3 linked regions of the Danio rerio genome follow. The protein of the gene in region 1 purifies or fractionates together with the protein of each later gene. This does not show direct contact. Links are inferred from orthologs where the notes say so. Each region holds a gene or a part of one and is shown in the gene's direction. Other genes may lie near its edges.

Region 1 (4,086 bases):
AAACTTCAAAATAAAGGTCTCCACATGTCGATTTATTTTCAAAATAAACGTCACAGTGCATTTAATGTTTTCCACAATAAAAGTTACTCGACTGCTTTGCGTTCATGGTTCATACCATTGGTTCATACGTACGTACTGCATGTAAATGGTAAATATGCATGTTTAAGCTATTTGGAAATAATATGATATGAAATAATAACAATTATTAAAACAATATAATTTTTGGAAAATATGCTTAACGTGAGCTTATAAAACTAGGTATTTATGAGAAATGCACATAACTAAGAAAATGCTAGAAAAAATAAATAATAAAATAACAATATAATAATAATAAATGATGATGATGATGATGATAATAATAACAATATTAATAAAAAAAGTCCTGCCAGTGCACTGAAACGTATAATATACTTAAAGTAACTTCCCTCATTGACTAAATTTTGACACAAAATATAACTTCATTCATTCATTCATTCATTCATTCGTTCATTTTCTTTTTGGCTTAGTCCCTACAGGGAGGGACATTCAACATGCAAAATCCAAACAAAAACGCCAACTGACCCAGACGAGGCTCGAACCAACAACCTTCTTGCTGTGAGGCGACAGCATTACCTACTGCGCCATATGGAAAAGTATACCATTTACTGTCTTTTTCTTTCTTGTATTTAATTAACCAATTAATTTTGAATGTATTGTTTAAAGTTTTAAAAAATGAACACCGATAACCCACCATTGCATTTTTGTTTACACATAATTTTCCATTTTAAAATAGTGATTTCCATTACTCCATAAAAAAAAATATATTGTATTTTAGGAATAGCCTAATTATTTCTTCATGTAGGACATGTTCCAGGATAGATGTCACTCCATGATTGCATTGGCAAAATCACACCCACCTCTTAGAGCCATTAGTTTTTCTGCAAGCAAACACCTTGACTTGAATTTGATCAACAGGGCAATCGGCTTTTCGCAACCATAATTGATGTTCTCCTGCTATTAATAATAGGCTAATAATACTCAATTTTAATACCCATTTTATATGATAAAGAGTTCACTTCAGTCCAGTAGGTGTCACTAAATGCACGCCTAAAAGAATAGAGCAAGCGTTGCACAATGCGCATGCGCAGTACTCGCTATCCATACTGCGCATGCGCTTTACTCACATGGACGCAGTTTCATCGAGACACATTATTTTTTCGTAGTATTTTACGCAAATCATTAGTTTTGTTTATTGCTTTTTGATACAAGTACAATATATGCTATTTTTAATTCATCGTCTGCCTGCTTTTTGTTGATAATATCTTCTAACACGTCTTAGCATGTCTATTGTTGTGGATGTTTTCTACAGCAGTTAAAGTTCTAGTTTAAGTTAATCTTTCAACTGATCGTTGACTGTAAATGTATTAAGAGACTTAAGTTCAGAATTATAATACTAGTAATAGTAATAATAATAGAGTGATGGAGGCTCCGCCGGTTACTGTGATGCCCGTCACGGGTGGAACTATAAACATGATGGAGTATCTTCTGCAAGGTAAACAACACCATCAGCACAACTCCTTTTACCATTCATTCATTCCTATTTATCATTTGTTACACTTTATTAAATAGTTTTAACTTAGTTTTTAAATACCCATTATGAGCAATCTCAATTTTTTAATTAGCAAAGTCATTTGAATAAAGCGTTGAATATGTTAAAGTGAATATGTAATTATAAACAATACACACACATTTTCTAGCGTTTTAAACTATTTTTATTTAACGCACCCTAATCTTCTTTAATTCCTTAAGACTTTTAATTTGGGATTCTGTATAATAAAAACATGTACTACAGTATTACTTTATGAATGTGCTAACGTTATATAAAACGAATAGTTTAGCATAATAATAGTATGTATACAATGTATTCATTGTAGTGTTTGTAGTATTATAATTTACAATTGTTATAATTTAAATTATACAATTATAGCATGCACTGTGCTACACGAGAGTTCTTTTTGCTGAGTCTTATTGTTTGCATAATATAGTTTGCTTATTTGGTCATATATTACCATTCCTACTTAAACCGTTACCAGATTTGTGTGTGTTCGGAGTAAATACATTTTTAACAAAATTATACAGCTAATTCATAAAGTATAATCAATAACACTTTCAAAATATGGTCTCATTAGTAAATCTTAGTTCATACATTAAAACAAAAAGCCACAGTGAGGGATATCGACATTTATTACAGTTAATAAGTTAATGTAAGTAAAAAAATACAACTGAAATGTATTATTTAATAACTAAATTTATTAAAACAATTACATCTTTTTTTTAGTGACTTATTAAGCATTAACTAAGAAATTGACACCACATTGCGAGAAATTGTGACATTACTTGAGACAAATTAGTCACAATTACAATTTTATTTTTATTGATGTATAGGAACAGGCTTAAATTATCTATCTATCTATCTATCTATCTATCTATCTATCTATCTATCTATCTATCTATCTATCTATCTATCTATCTATCTATCTATCTATCTATCTATCTATCTATCCATCCATCCATTCCCCTATCTATCCATTTATCTATCTATCTGTCCGTCCGTCCGTCCGTCTGTCTTTCTGTCTGTCTTTCTGTCTGTCTTTCTGTCTGTCTTTCTGTCTGTCTATCTATCTATCTATCTATCTATCTATCTATCTATCTATCTATCTATCTATCTATCTATCTATCTATCTATCTATCTATCTATCTATCTATCCATCCATCCATTCCCCTATCTGTCTGTCTGTCTGTCCGTCTGTCCGTCCGTCTGTCTATCTGTCTGTCTGTCTGTCCGTCCGTCCCTCCATCCGTCCCTCCCTCCATCCATCCATCCATCCATCCATCCATCCATCCATCCCCCATCCGTCCATCCATCCATCCATCCATCCATCCATCCATCTATCTATCCATCTATCTATCTATCTATCTATCTATCTATCTATCTATCTATCTATCTATCTATCTATCTATCTGTCCGTCCGTCCGTCCGTCCATCCATCTAATCTTCCATCCATCCATCCATCCATCCATCCATCCATCCATCCATCCATCCATCCATCCATCCATCCATCCATCCATCCATCCATCCATCCATCTATCTATCTATCTATCTATCTATCTATCTATCTATCTATCTATCTATCTATCTATCTATCTATCTATCTATCTATCTATCTATCTATTTATGCCCCTAATCTATGCATCCATCCATCCCACCCCCTATCTATCTATCCATCTTGACTTGGCTGTGTTCTGTTGGTTTGTTTGGCACAGGCAGTGTACTGGACCAATCTCTGGAGAGTCTCTTGCATCGCCTCCGGGGCCTGTGTGATAACATGGAGCCTGAGAGCTTTGCTGATCACGAGTTGGTGTATCTCCTGAAAGGTCAGCAGGGCAACCCGTTCATCCTGCGTGCCCGCCGCTCGCTCCTCGACCCCTCCGTCCCCTGGCACCTGCGCTATCTGGGTCAGCCCGAGGTGGGCGACAAAAGCCGTCATGCCCTGGTGCGGAACTGCGTGGACGTGGCAGCCTCGCACAGCTTGCCTGACTTCCTCAATGAGATGGGCTTCCGCATGGACCATGAGTTCGTGGCCAAGGGTCAGGTGTTCCGGAAGGGTGTGATGAAGGTGGTGGTGAGCAAACTGTCGCGTGTGCTGGTTCCTGGAAACACGGATAACACGGAGCCGCTCTCTCTGTCGTATCTTGTTGAGCTGAGCGTTCTGGCTCCTGCGGGACAGGACACTGTGTCTGAGGACATGAGGAGCTTCGCAGAACAGCTCAAACCTCTCGTTCACCTGGAGAAGATTGATCCCAAAAGACTCATGTAGAGAACATGACCTACAGACTGAGATTTTTAATTCGGTGAATAGGTGTTAAGACTGCATTTATTTGGAATATTTTTGATGATTGTTTTCTTTTTTTGTAATTGATGAAATGCTAATTAAAATCTTTAAATAAAAATATTCATTCATTCATTCATTTTCTTTTCGGCTTAGTCCCTTTATTAATCCGGGGTCGCCACAGCGGAATGAACCGCCAACTTATCCAGCAAGTTTT
Region 2 (4,316 bases), on another chromosome or scaffold:
AGTCTAAAGGGGGATGGTGTCAAAAACGGCCAGAAGTGCTGATCACGCCACGGGTGTCAGAGCCTGCGCCACATGTCACTCCGCCAGACCTCCTGACATTATCACAGCGTTTCACACACGATTTAAGCCCCAAACGGAGCGTCTGGCTCGGTGAAATCCAGCCCCGCTCCGCCCGAGGCACCCGCGGCTCGGACGGACTCACTCACCTAGGGATTGTGCGCAGATCCCCGGTTCCTTTGGCTTCGTCCTGCCGGGAGAACCACACCTCCAGGAGCTTCTCGGTCCCCTCGAAGAAGTGTGCACTGCTCTCTTCCATCGTGAGACAAACAGACTCCAACAACAGAAAATAAACCGTCGGATGGAATCACAAATTATGTAGTCCTTCGTTGGCGGTTATAACTTAATAGCTTAGTTACAGTCCTTGAGCAGTCCAGATGTAGTTGCCTTATTTTTTTGTTTGTATTTACCGTCTTCCCTTTTACAGAGAATACCGTAGGCGAGTGCTAGCTAATATCGCCGGCCATACTGTGTAAGCGCAGAACGGCAGTCTGCGCGGAGCTTTTATTACCTACCCGACGACGTCATTCTCGTCGTTGCCAATCGCGGCGAGGGAGCCACCCTCAGGTCTACAGCGATTGGTTGAACGGATATCAGTCAAGCGGGATGTTGCGTAAAAGTATGAGTTCACGCTGTAGTAGCGCGTGTGTGAGTGTGTGTCCTTGTATAGATGAGCAAACATTTGCGTTGCTATTGACCTTATTCTAAAATGCGGAAGTGCGCCTGTTTTCGCGATTGTCTTAGAACTTCCGATTCAGTCGCCTATGGGAGAAATGACTAGGAATAATAAACGACAGAAAATGGCCAAACTACTTGCTCAACAAACAAATGTTTGCATGACTACACAGACCAAGTAGCATAATATAATAAGAAAATATTAAATTGCAACATCAAGCAGCGTAACGTGCAGTTGTTAACGTCAAAAAATGAATGGAAGTGAATGTGACCGGAAGTCGCGAGACAAAAAGATTCAAATGGCAGCGCCCGCTCGTCAGCTGAGAATAAGGTGAATAACGCTGAGCCACTGCACAAATAATTGACTCCCATTTATCTAGCACTCTCTTTGAAAAAGAAAAAAACTGTTAGGTTATGTATTCCACACATTTTATTAATTATGTTTAGTTATTATAAGCTTTTTTTCTGCCATTGTGCAAACACTCCAAGCGCTAACGTTCAGAAATGTTAGTTTTGAATCAGAGTGGAAAGACGAAAGGAGGATTTGTTCGCTGTAGTTTTTCAGATGTCCTGCCGCCGTCAACTCGAGCTGGCGCTCCATCAAACGGCACTACGCTCCCCACAATGCAACCCGCCACAATAAAATACGTCACCGAGCACGTGACCGTTAAGCGGAGCCGACCAAAATCCCAAACAAGGAAATGGTGGGGTAATAAAAACGATCGGATCATTTAATTAATGCATGTAATAATTAATATTTTATTTTCTTGTAAATTAAGAAATATTTATGGGTTAAAATGGACTACGACTTCAAAACGAAGCTCGCCGCCGAGAGGGAGAGAGTGGAAGATCTGTTTGAATATGAAGGTTGTAAAGTGGGTCGCGGCACATACGGGCATGTTTATAAAGCGAAGCGTAAAGACGGGTAAGAGACACGCGTTTGATTGACGCGTTTCACTCACTGCACGCGCTTCTGCTGTCTCTGGGTGTGCAGGAGCTTCATATGTGTCGGGGGAATTGCGCTGTTTTCTGTAGCCTGCGTGTGTGTGTGTGTGATTGTTTTTGTTTTCATGGACGCACTTCAAACGGTCCACCCCCAAACCAGCCAGCGTGATGCATGTTTCACTCTTGTGTGCAGGAGTTCACTGCAAATCAGTTCCTCTGTCCAGAAGTTGCATGCGTTTGAAGTCCACTGTGAGTTTGTGTGCTCGGATGAGAAGATGTCATGTTTACATGTGCTGGAATTCAGAGGCTCACCTGTGCACGAGTTGACATACTCATTTACGCAGTATAACAGCTGCCCACTTCTTCATAAGTGCACAAGCTCTTGCGTGCTGGAGTTTATGGAGCATCTGTGATCGAGTTCACGTGCTTGCAGTGTGTGTGTGTGTGTGTGTGCTCTTATTTATACAGGAGTCAATGTGTGCTCAATAAAGGGGTCCTCTTATGACACTTTACACAAGATGTAAAATAAGTCTCTTATGTCTCTAGAGTGTGTGTGTGAAGTTTCAGCTCAAAATACCACACAGATAATGTTTTATATCTCTCTGAAATGGACCCTTTTAGGCTTTGATCCAAATCATGCTGTTTTGGTTACTGTCACTTTAAATTTAAAGCATAGCAGCAGATTCGAAACAGGACTAAAGTTTCTTTGTGAAAAGATGAAAATGTGGTGGCGATGCAGTAAGTAGCACAACCTACTGCGCCACCGCATCTCCAATTTTTTAAATATCTGTGTGATATTATTTTCTGTGGTGGTTCATTCCGCTGCTGCAACCCCTGATAAGTACGAGAGTACAGCCTGGTTTATACTTCTGCGTCAAGTGATCGGCGTGACCCACGGCGCATGCAACGCGCGTAGCCGTGCATTCATACTTCTGCGCGCTATTTCTGATGTTCTGCAATAACACTTCCGAAAAGCTTGTCGGCAATGAGGTGTTAATGTTCCTCTGTGTTGAGTTTATTCGCTGGCGTTTTGTTTTTTCTGAACGCTCAAACTCGCTTATTTTGAGGCAGGAACCGGCGGACATGCAACAACTTTAATCATAACCCACATAGCAAAGTTTCTCTGGCCCAGCTGTGGCCCACACAATCAGGTTTTGCTTGGCCCACATGCCGCAGTGAATTACGGTACATGACTGGACCAAATCTGGCTTCCAGACAAGGGCCAAACACGGACCATATCTGGGCCAAGTCTCAGCCAAGTTAATAACTCATAACTGGGCCTGAACTGGGCCAGATAGGTTGGTGTGTCACGATTGCAATGAAATTGATAAACCCATGGAGTGATGCGCTTTAGGCACACTATGGGCACGCTTTTTCTCAAAGTGACCTGATTGGTAGAATTTATTTTCTTTACTAAAAAATGATTTTAGTGTATTTTAAATGTGGGTCAAAACTGGCCAAACTCACATGGCCCACTTATCAAATTTTTAAATCTGGGCCAAATACTACGTTTTTCATCTGGCCCAAATCTTGTGTGCCGCCTCTGCCAAACCCGGGCCATGTTTGGCCCACATGCTGTATGCCAGTGCCGGATGAATGCCTGCTGTGCCAGCTTTATGCCAAATCTGGGCCAGAATTCTTTGCTACTAGGGAAGGTAAACACAAAGCAAAACCTTTCATCCGGAGCTCCATCACGGGACTCCACACTTGTAAACAATCGCTTCATCGGCCTCGCACAGCTCTCGGTCCCGCCCACACTTGTCAGCGATTCCAAGCTAACCAATCCCAGAGCTTGCGCTACATGTCGTTGCGATGTGTAGTTCCATTTTTTGAGAGGTGCGTGTCAGCGATGGCCACGGCGTTGGGCTATGCGTCAGCGCGTAGGCTGTGCTGTAGCATACGCGTGCGCTTGATGCAGAAGTATAAACAGCCTTAAGCTGGTTTGTGTTCACACTGTTTTTTCCTTCTGAACCCCGGTACGCTTGCGTCATCGAGCTGCTGTTTTGTTTACAGCCGTTGCTAGGTGACGGTCACGAAAGCAAGAGGCGAAATGGACAAGGCCTAATTTAATGATTTACGCTTAGCTAATAGTAACTGCCAAGCTGGGAAACCCAATGACAGAGGTGAGACACAGGTCGTATATGTTTGTTTCCATGACCCACAGGGTTTGTTGCATGTTTTCCCCCCTGATCCTGTCCGGGCCGATACAGCAACGCTGTTTGTTTGCAGCAAGCATTTTTTTCAGGAAAGCGTCAGACTTTGTCTTTTATCATTTATTCATTCATTTTCTTGTCGGCTTAGTCCCTTTATTAATCCAGGGTTGCCACAGTGGAATGAACCACCAACTTATCCAGCAAGTTTTTATGCAGCGGATGCCCTTCCAGCCGCAACCCATCTCTGGAAAACATCCACACACACACACTCATACACTACGGACAATTTAGCCTACCCAATTCACCTGTACCACATGTCTTTGGACTGTGGGGGAAACCGGAGCACCCGGAGGAAACCCACGCGAAGGCAGGGAGAACATGCAAACTCCACACAGAAACGCTAACTGAGCCGAGGTTCGAACCAGCAACCTTCTTGCTGTGAGGCGACAGCACTACCTACTGCGCCACTGCCTCGCCACTTTGTCT
Region 3 (3,655 bases), on another chromosome or scaffold:
GCTATTTTTTTTTTTTAATACAGTATTACACAATAGAAAATATCAGTCGTTGCTACATACATTCAGAATCACCTTTGCTTGAAATTATTCAATCTAACCTCTTTTGTTTGTTTTGTATTTGAAATTGTCCTGCTGATGAGCAGATTTTTGAACTGTTGCTTTGACAACAACTCTCAGATATGTTTTGAGGAATGGAACTATTCTGGATCTTGTTAAATAATCAAATAATATTAAATAATCAAATCCAGCTAATTGAGTGATCCATGTATGAAGAACAGAACCCAATATGTTTTCTGAATATGCTTGAGGTATATCAGGACCTTTAGAATTAAATTAATATTTTATTATTTAATCAACCATTTAAAAGAAAAAATACCCCACTCTGCATAATTCATTTTGACATGATTTGGAGATCTTCTACTGTTTTTTTAAGAGAAGTATTTTCTCTTGTGTCTCACAACCGCAGAAAAACCAGCAGCAGCAGCAGCAGGGGAACAACCACACCAATGGGGCAGGGCACACAGGTAACCCTGACAACAGCCACGCACAAGGCCCGCCTCTGAAGAAGGTGAGAGTGGTTCCGCCCACCACTACCTCAAGTGGCCTGATCATGACCTCAGATTACCAGGTAACGCCTCAAAACACACACATTCATCTTCATTTTCACAGACAGGCTAGAAAATTGCTGCAAGTTGCCCACCAGTCGTAATAATCAAATAACTGATGAATCTTGTGTTTCTCCAGACAATTTTGTTTCTTTGTAATATACATGACACTTTTTTGATATTGTATGCAACAAAGACTAATTTATTACTGTAGTTATGCCTTTAAATAAAACTTTTTTTTTTTTAAACCGATGATTATATTTCTTCCACATATAAAATATGCAGACTCTTTTTTTTTTTTGCATTTAATAACAATATAACATTTTTTATATTAATTTAAACATCACGTTACAAGTTTTATATTTACAGAAGATAACATTTTTGGTGAAATTTTCATTTAATTTAATTTTGGGGAAATTTAGGCCTCATTTTCAACCCCAATAAATGAACATGTTGGTTATTCTGACTAGTTGTCAAAATATGCTTTAAAACTAAATGCTGAGGACTAATAAAGTTAAAATACAACTCAAGTTTATACCTAATAAATCTATGAAATCCAGAGAAACAGCATATTTACTGGTAATTTTAGCACTTTTTCATTTAGATCTGTTCAATTAGCACATATTTTTATACAGAGTAATTCATCATAAAGTGACAAGAACTCTAATTTTGGCACTCTTCAATTCATTTTTATCCTTACCGCAAACTAAAATGAACCACCTAGTAAAATTTTGCATTCAAAACATTGACACAACCATTTGGTTGCAAGCTTTAGGATCTTAAAGGGAAAGTACACCCAAAAATGAACTGCTGTTCATTTATGCTCCCTCATTTCATCTGAGATGTAGGTGGCTTTTTTCTTCACTAGAACATTATAGAAGATTTTGTCTTTGGTGATTTCTACATGCAAATCTGTAGCTTCAGGCACTCAAAAAAATATACAGGCAACACAAAATTATTACTTGCGCTCCTAAATATACGACAAGGCCTTATAAATAATCAGTCTGTGCAAGAAATGGAACAATATTTTACTTATGTGGCCTGATTTTATTCTCTTCATAAAATCCTCATTCCTTGTGTATTTTGTTTTGTGTATGTTTTTTTTTAGCTCTCAAAGTGCCAGTAGCAATTGACTTTATGCCCTTTATGCACTTCCTTTTCCATGTAAAAAGAGTTTTTGTCCGAACCGTCTGTAGATGTTGTACAAAATTTCACTCTATTTCCATTTGTTGCGATGTTGTGCCTGAACAACAGTATAAACTACTATGACAATGATCACTTCAGGTACTGATTACGAGCTTTATTCACTGTCAAAGTCTACCCATGTGAGTTTGAATGCAGTTTTATAAGACATTTATTGCCATACTGAAAGCAGAAGCACATATTTTACCACAGACCTTAAATAAAATAACTATCAAATAGTTTGAAAATGAAAGTGAGAACTTTGACTGCAAACCAGCAACATCATTTACTCAGTTGCCCATGTACTTTTAATAATGTTGAATAGTTTTGATAAGTATTTATTGTTGATACTTTTGTTTATTTGTTCTATATTTCTTATTGCTGTCAGAGTCTAAAAGCTACCAAACAAATTGTGTTGTACGATACTACAATGAAAAAATTCATATTCTAATTAAAAACCCTAATATTTTATTGGGTGTCTGGTGCACTGTTCTGTGCTTCTGAGTGGCTAAAGTTAAATGTTTCTGTTGCGTTTAGTGCATACAGACAAATTGCTTATCACTGCAATATTGTCACATCGCATGCAGTTAGGACACGGTGTGAGGGTAAATAAACAACATTTTTAAGGATGCTGTATATAAGAAATAAATATATATATAAATAAATATATATATATTTTTTTTTACTCTTCTAAAGCGTACAATTACAATAATATGTTTGCTGATAATTAAGAAACATGCCAAGTGAAGATTTTTGTTTATCTAAAACACAATGCTACAGTCAGATATTCTGCTTTAAAAATGTGCCAGAACTTCTGTCTTTGTTTTGGTTCTTTTCACCCGCCCAGTCCCAGTTTGCCTAATTATATTTTAAGCATGTGTCTGCGACTGAAATGCAACCTCCGGTTAACAGTAGCAGATTTAGAGATCAACGAGGTGTCTTTTAATTAGCAAATAATACTAAGATTAGGAATGTAAACATTAGGTGAGCAGAATACATTGTATAACCGTGTCCTAACAACATACTATGTGAAGAGATTTACATTTGGCTGTTTGCACCAGATGAAAAACAACAGTAATTTAAATACAGCCATTCAGAAGCACAGAATAGTGCACGCACTGCACTCCAGCGTAATGGTAAGGTTTATAATTAAATTGATACATATGAAACCTATTTAACATTATTAAATGTACATGCTGAATCACTAATATGTGTTGTCTTCCACTGAGTCACAGCTGTATAGTTCAGTATCAAACGGTTTATTTTATTTTCGAGATCTGAGGTGAACTGTCTGCTGCTGCTTTCAGTAGTATGGCAATAAATGTCTTGTAAAATGGCATTCAAACTCGCATAATTAGAATTTGACAGTGAATAAAGCACATGAGGAGTACCCTAAGTTGATTGCTATTAACCAGTGAGAAATAGAAGCTGTTTCTAAAATAGAAATTTCAGTTCTTGGTTTGGACAAAAGCTCCTTTTAGTATAGAAAATATACCTTCTATCGCATACCATTGCTTTTAGTTGGAAAACGGTGAAAATCAGCCTTTAGGCTCAATAGTCAGGCACATTTCATTCTGGCAACCTGCGCACGGATTTGCCAGAGGAGGAGCCAAATGAAAATCTGTTTTGATCCAGGAGTGCAGTACCTAGTTTAACCACTGGGTGTCAAACTTACATACTGTACTTTTAAAGTTTTTTTATTTTGGAGAACTATTCTTTTAAACAAACTTTATGCCCAATTTTTTTCTTTTCCACAATTGTTTTGGAAACCCAGTATGTCACCAACACTGTTTAATCTCTGTTTTTCAGCGCTCCAATCCACATGCTGCCTACCAGAACCCAGGACCAAGCACATCATTGCCCCAAAG

Evidence for each region.
Region 2: the proteins of med18 (region 1) and cdk19 purify together in Homo sapiens (affinity purification with mass spectrometry; 5 studies listed by BioGRID and IntAct, counting the BioPlex papers as one, with this or other methods). This does not show direct contact. The link is inferred for Danio rerio from reciprocal best matches to the Homo sapiens genes MED18 and CDK19.
Region 3: the proteins of med18 (region 1) and cdk8 purify together in Homo sapiens (affinity purification with mass spectrometry; 5 studies listed by BioGRID and IntAct, counting the BioPlex papers as one, with this or other methods). This does not show direct contact. The link is inferred for Danio rerio from reciprocal best matches to the Homo sapiens genes MED18 and CDK8.

The regions. Positions count from the first base shown.
Region 1 is NC_133191.1:7,708,733-7,712,818, reverse strand, and holds med18 (mediator of RNA polymerase II transcription subunit 18), read left to right. Parts: upstream 1-1,192; 5' UTR 1,193-1,458; coding exon 1,459-1,531; intron 1,532-3,303; coding exon 3,304-3,857; 3' UTR 3,858-4,004; downstream 4,005-4,086. UniProt on the Homo sapiens protein: Component of the Mediator complex, a coactivator involved in the regulated transcription of nearly all RNA polymerase II-dependent genes.
Region 2 is NC_133195.1:3,039,576-3,043,891, reverse strand, and holds the start of cdk19 (cyclin-dependent kinase 19), read left to right. Parts: upstream 1-1,401; 5' UTR 1,402-1,529; coding exon 1,530-1,657; intron 1,658-4,316. Other genes in the region: amd1 (S-adenosylmethionine decarboxylase proenzyme), read right to left, coding at 207-316.
Region 3 is NC_133199.1:25,415,233-25,418,887, forward strand, and holds part of cdk8 (cyclin-dependent kinase 8), read left to right. Parts: intron 1-466; coding exon 467-628; intron 629-3,596; coding exon 3,597-3,655.